2 linked regions of the Coturnix japonica genome follow. The protein of the gene in region 2 interacts with the protein of the main gene of each other region in a pairwise test. Links are inferred from orthologs where the notes say so. Each region holds a gene or a part of one and is shown on either strand. Other genes may lie near its edges.

Region 1 (3,752 bases), on a different chromosome or scaffold from region 2:
TCAAAACAGGCAACTGAACAGCAAGCAAAGAGCCATAAGAACTAGAAACAGTGAATTCAGAGCTAAGCAAGCTACTCCTCATTTAACAAAGCTGCTTTGAAGTAACTGTGGTCTTGATGACTTCTGACCAATGCTCTAATAATGTTGCACAGAAACCCAACATTTTTCAGTCTGCATAAAAAAACACCCCAAAACATAAACTAAAATCCAGCCGAGAACCAAAGCCTTAGAAGAACCAAGAATGGTTGTCAGGAGTCTTTTGCCCATTTCTCATTAATAAAACTAAAAATCTGACTGCTCCCTATTCTACAGATGGGTTACTCCAGGACACTGAAAAGAACAGGTTCTTAACATCACAAGAGGCACACAATGCGATTTCAAGCTGAGTTTTGTATAAATCCCCTCCCCATGCTGAATTGAAAGCATTGTTTAAATGAGTGTGTTTTCAGGCCAAGAAATGTTAGTGCTTGGGCAGGCCTGAGCACAGCCGTGTGTAGAGGAGCTTTGGGCTTCTGTCAGCAGCTGCTACTGAATGTGGAAAGGCTCCTCACTTTGGGCCAGTTTTTACTGGGTTGGAATCACTCCAGAGTTCTAAAGAGCAGAGTTATATTATTTCATGTCAAAGAAAGACATGACAACAGACTAATACAGATTCCATACAGAGAAACCACAGCAACTCTGGTGCTGAAGAACTGTACTGATTTCAGCTTGCAGGTAGCCAGCAGCAGCCTACCTCCTCCTCCCCTGACACAACAAATACCTCAGCATGTCAGCACAGGAGAGAAAAAAGAAACAAAAGGCAAGAAGGCAGCACAGTATTTTACTGTGCAAACAACTCTGTTGTGTGGTCTCCCATCCTTCCCAGATACATGTACTACTACAGCCATAAATTTGGCACGTTGAAAAGCTGATCTTCAAGAACGCATTGAGCTTCAATATACAGTGAGAGCAGTGAATACTTGCTTAGTGTTCTCGAAAGAAACACGTTACGTTCTTTTGGCCCACATTGGACTGTGACACACAACCACCCACAGAGGATGTATTCTAGAAAAAAAAAACAACTCCACCATCCCGAATGACCAGCAGGAAGGAAAATGTGACGACTGGAAAGAAGCGTTCAGTTTTCATTTGGCTACCCAGAGCTATTTGACCACGCCCCAGTTACGAGTCAAGCGAGGTCTGAAGTACAGCTTTCTACTTGGTTAGGAAAAGAAAGTGGAGAACAAATTGCCTCATTTACAAATAAGAAATTAGCACCTTCACTTCCTGCACTGTACTGAATGAAGGGCTCTTACATGCAGGAAAAAGGCTGGCTGTAAACATCTGACCTTTGCTCTGGTTCAAAAGGGAAGGTGCAGCAGAGGTGGGCAAGGAGTAAAACGTCAAGACCAGAAGAGTCGAGTAGCCAGACTGGCATGGAATGTAGCACGAAGTTCACAAGGGGCCTCCTTCCCCCTTCACAGACTCACCATTGGACAGTGCCTGCTGAAGCTCCGTGTCTGAGATCACTCCACTCCTGTCTTTATCAACCCTGGAGGAGGGGAGAAGAAGTGGCGTGCCTTGAGGTGCTGAAGTGAACAGAATTTAGCTACAACCCTCAGCATTTCCGTCCCTACCAAATAAATCAGTCACGGGCGTGGGGCAGCACAGGGCTTTGCTCACAGAGCCACCCCAGGCCCCGCTACCAAACCCTGCCATGTAATCCTAGCAGAATTACAACCTGCTTATCTTGCTCCTGACCATCAGTCAGCACGGAGCACATTCATTTGATATACAAAACGACATGAATCCTCCTCACAGCCATCGGGTATCTACTCTGGAATTCATCTACCCGTGATACAGCAATCAGGATCCAACCGTGAAGGTGACACAGCCCGGTCACTCAGTACAGCAAGGTGCTCCTGCCAAGCCTTCACACTGCAGGAATCCGCCATGACACCTGGAGTGCACGTTTGTGCTTTGTTAGTAGAAAAAGGAACAGATGCCTTATAAAAGTCCAAACATTAAGTCCATGTAACCAGAAGCTGAAGCTCGTGCTTCAGCTGATCATTCACCCTCTGTTCCCACAGATGCTCTTGAACATATTGAATGAAGATCCCAGAACTGCTGCATCAATCAGTGTGACAGAATTTCCCTTTCAGCCAGTTATTTACCCGCTGAAGGACTTTCATTCTGTGCCTGCCAGATTTCTCTAAAGCTCCTCGATGCTTATGGCTGAAAGCTTCTTTGGAAACTATCTGAACTACACCAACTGTAGCAGCCTTATCCATATCAATAAGCAATCCCCACACATACTTCCGTCAAGTTCCCAGATAAAGTGCTTTTACACAAGGGTGGTGGACAAATGTCACCTCTCTGAGTCACTGCTGTGTTCTGCCAGGCAGTTACTGTTACTCATTGCTGATCCAAACCTCGCACGGTTTGTGTTGGAAGGGCCCTCAGAGCCCACCCATCCCCACCCTGTGCCATGTGCAGGGCTGTCCCCAGCAGCTCAGCTGCCCAGGGCCCCATCCAACCTGGCCTTGAGCACCTCCAGGGATGGGGCACCTCCCCGATTCCCATTTGGCAGACGCCTTCAGGTCACCTCCTTGCCCTACCCCGCCTCCCCAAGCGCTCCTTGCAGCTCTCCCTTAGATTCCCGCTGCGGGGACACAGCCGCAGAGCTCGGCCGATGCCCGGGGCCCATTAGAGGCATCCAGCCTCCTCCCAAGGCCCGATCGCTCCCCGTGCCAGCTGTGCGGGCAGCCCCGAGCCCCCGCGGCCTCACCTCTGGAAGACGTTCCACAGGAAGGAGGGGTCGGGCAGCCCCATCCCGTGAGGCGCCGCCATCACGGCCGCCCCAGCTCCGACAGCGCGACTCTCCTTCCGCTTCCTGGGGCGGGGCGAGCGGGGCGGGGGTGATGTCAGCAGGCAGCGCCAAGCGGGGAAGCACCATGGCGACAAGAAGCCGGTGCTTCCTAAGGCCGTGCGGGCCCGGCCTGGAACCCGCGGCTTCCCTGGACTGTCTATGTAAAATCAGCTTTTACATAGAGTCATAAGGTTGGAAAGGACCTACAGGATCACCTAGTCCAGCCGCCCTCCCATTACCATACCTACAGCAAAGCACTAAACCATATCTCGTAGCTCCTCATCCAGATGCCTCTCGAACACTGACAGGGATGGTGACTCCACCACCTCCCTATGCAGCCATTCCAGTGTCTGACCACTGTCTGAGAGATAAAGCTCCTTCTTATATCCAATCTAAACCTCATCTGGTACAACTTGCGGCCATTTACTCGGGTCCTGTTTGTTGCCTGGCAGAAGAGGCCAAGCCCCTCCTCATCACAACCTCCCTTCAGGAAGTTATAGAGAGCAATAATGTCTCCCCTGAGCCTCCTCTTCTCCAGGCTGAACAATCCCAGCTCCCTCAGCCGCCCCTCATAAGGCCTGTGCTCCAGACCTTTCACTATGTAAAAGTTCATCCCCCCCCTCAGCCAAAACACAGCACACACAGCAGAACATGGCCATGGTCCAGCATTTTATTGAACAAGTGATGATTCGTGTGCTCTTTTTAGTGAATCCACAAAGACATATTGTACCTCATGCTGTTTTTAGCTATTTATTTATTCCCTCTACAGTCCCGTGGCCAGGAAGCTGGCTCCATAATTAAGGTTTTTGCCATAAACTATTTTACACCCAAGTAATTACATACACCAAGTTTAACGTGGGAGTGGAATGGGGACATTAATGTACACCCAATGCTGTGCCATGGG
Region 2 (3,156 bases):
GCTAGCAAAACCCCACTGCCTTCAATAAGCTTAGTAGCAATTTAGCCTATGCACTAATACATTAAATGTACTGGTAGTACACTTATTTCAGTTAGCCCTCCTTACTTAAAGTTATGAACAAGTCTTAAGCAGATCAGTTGTTTCACTGAGGGAAGAAATCCTCATAATAAAACAAGAAATTTGTGGTATGGTTATATACATTTTGCCAAGCAGATCAAATGAGATAGATTTTTCTAGCCTTCCATAATACAAAATCTTACATGTCTTCTGTTCACTGAAAAAATACCTCCAGCTCATTAGTTATCTTTTAATTAGTATCATTAATTCTTTCCAGGGTGGCTGAAGTATTCATTTCAATGAACAGTACAGTCATTTACAAACACATGCTGAATTTATGCATCTTGCCACAGGCACCTACCTTCATAGCATTCCTCAGCCTCTCTGCAAAGAATGCTGGTGTGTTCTTGAGGCATTTAACTGCAAGAAGAAACAGTATTACTGAAGTCACACACTCCTACCCAAACATAATCTCATGACTGTTTTTCAAGCTCAGTCCCATGCTTTAATTACCTAAACATAGAGATGGTATGATGCAGTTTCCATCCCTTCAGTTAGTCAGTGAAACAATTTTGTACCTTTTACCTCTAACAACAAGACTGTTGCTTCTGAAAAGGAAGTAGGGTATGGAGAGGCAATAGGAGGCTCGAAGAACAGAATTAAGTGTCATTAGTTCTTCCTAAATTTGAGAAATCCTAGGCCATGCATCTAGAAGGCATGGCAAATTCAAGACACACTCTAAGTTGGGATGAGTTGCTCTAAGATAGGAACACATCTATAACAGGAACTGCACCATTTATTCAAAGCCAGTTATGCATTTCTTTAGCCACGAATTTCACATGGATTCTTGAAAAATCCTTGATATGCTTATTAACAATGACCAATTTTCATGTTTCATTAGCAGAGTTCATTAGAACTCTTAGAGAAGAAGAGCCAAATCAAATGACTTTGATATTTATCTGTTCATCACTCATTAAAACTACAGTCTCTAAACTGATCCTATGTTGGGTTAACAGCCATGCAATCTGTGGCGTATTGCATGGACAGCAAACCATAACCAGCTTGTATATGACAGCACAAAAAGTATCAGAGCAAGACAGAACCAAAGGGATAAACCTAAATATACATTTCACAGCAAAATACATTCTATATAGGAAAAAAGTATTTTCTGAACAGCAAAATGTAGATGAGAGAGAACAGTTTAAAACACGCAGTTGTTAGATATGTACAACATCTCAGGAACAAATGACAGATGAAATGCACGTTTCTTGATTGTCATTAAAACAACACAATCACACACTAAGATGTTTGAAGATGTCAGGGTAAATTACCAGTTTACAATCCAGAAAGCTTTAAGAAAAGCAAAATTGAACATTTTCAATTAGAAAAACCTTGATTTTTTTTTGTGGAAAACAAGGTTAAAAGAACAAATGATGCTAGATACACATACACATGTATATATACATCTATATATACACACACATACACACATCACTAAACAAAACTGAAGTTCATTCAGTGGATATTAATGCAAGTTTATCCTCTAAAGGTTACTGATTTATTTGAAAGTTACAGTCCCAATGCTCAGTTTTCATCCACATAAAGATCTGCCATGTGACTGCAAAGCTCCATGAGGCCAAACAACTTATAAACTCCTATAGTTAAGTTTCTTTACTGAGCTAGTGTTCTGCAAACAAACTATACTTCAAGTTTGGCTTGCTAACATGAATACTTGTTGAGGTGAAAGATTCAGAATGCTGGAAAAGGGTCTGCTAATGTACTACAACAACAGAGCTAGGCTCAGCCTGGGTCATAGAAAACACCCTCACCATTAGAAAAGGGGCAACTTTATCAAGTAGACTATTGACTGCATAATGGCTATATAGTTCAGACATGCATAAGACAAGTGAAGGAGTGAAGTCCCACAAAATCATCTTTATTTTGCAATATTACGTTAGAAACTTCCATGAGAAAAAAATGCACAGCTTCACTGCAGTTGAGCCAAATGTTTTCTCCTATCTTACTCCCCCAGTGATAAACATTCCTATTGATTTCAACAGGAACTGAAGAAGCTGTGTTTTGTTGCTGTAGTTCATTTGTTTCTCATTTTCTCCTAGGTACATCCCTTTCCCTGACACTACCATAATATAAAACATCAAAAAAGAACACTTTGAGAAGCACAGCTAGATACCACAGTAAGTTCAAAACAGTACATGGAAATAGAAATGGAAATGTAAAGAAGTAACTTCACCTAAGAGACGAAGACAAAACTAAAGAGAAAGAGCCATGTGACTCTGTTTAGAATAAACCACCCTAAACAGAACCACTGCACAAGGACTCAAGGGCCTCTCATAGCTCTTAGTGGAAACCAGTGACCGCTATCTTAAAAAGTATCAAGGGTAAATCTGAGGTAGAACTTGGCCCTTCCCAAGTACCAGAAACACTTCTGAACTAAGATTTGAAGGAAATAGGGGGAAAAAAATAACCTCTCTGGAATCAAATTTAAGTTCTCCCTCTAATAAAAACTAGTTAGAGGTTTACAATTTCAATGCCTTTCGCTTTATTTCCAAAGCTGTCCCAAGTATCCTATTCTCACTCTCACAGTGGTGGGTAGAACATATAATCACTTCTTAAATCCAAGCCAAGTTAATAATTCTCTCTCCCCATTTTAGCATTCAAAGTTTAGCATGCAAGATTTAAATCAAGCAGCTTGCCTGAAGCTAAAGCCTCATCAGCCATTTTGAGGTGAATTAAGAGGCCTGCTTTACACATATGGCACGTACCTACTGCCAGCATGCCTTTCTCCAGGTCTCCAGACATTTCACGACAGATGCTTTTCTCTATATCCCGGTTACACATCCTCTGGTACTCACTGAAAACTGTCAACAGGAAAGAAAGGATTCAGGAGTCAGTCTCACAAAGAAATGGCAGTGGTGCATGATGTGTATTGCTTTATTTTGAAAGCACTTCTCAACTTGGTAATGCAGCAGATTCACAGAAGTCCTGAAATTTTAAAGATGATTTGAACCATTCTGCTCCATTTAAGTATCACCATGCTCCTCCCAGCTTGTCTAGTCCTGTGCTTATTTCTGAAGGGCT

Evidence for each region.
Region 1: the proteins of ANXA11 (region 2) and PDCD6 interact in binary tests that used the Homo sapiens proteins (3 or more experiments, as listed by UniProt). The link is inferred for Coturnix japonica from reciprocal best matches to the Homo sapiens genes ANXA11 and PDCD6.

What each region holds. Positions count from the first base shown.
Region 1 is NC_029517.1:80,103,250-80,107,001, reverse strand, and holds the start of PDCD6 (programmed cell death protein 6), read right to left. Parts: upstream 2,899-3,752; 5' UTR 2,830-2,898; coding exon 2,768-2,829; intron 1,532-2,767; coding exon 1,470-1,531; intron 1-1,469. UniProt on the Homo sapiens protein: Calcium sensor that plays a key role in processes such as endoplasmic reticulum (ER)-Golgi vesicular transport, endosomal biogenesis or membrane repair.
Region 2 is NC_029521.1:4,212,921-4,216,076, forward strand, and holds part of ANXA11 (annexin A11), read right to left. Parts: intron 2,937-3,156; coding exon 2,841-2,936; intron 478-2,840; coding exon 419-477; intron 1-418. UniProt on the Homo sapiens protein: Binds specifically to calcyclin in a calcium-dependent manner. Required for midbody formation and completion of the terminal phase of cytokinesis.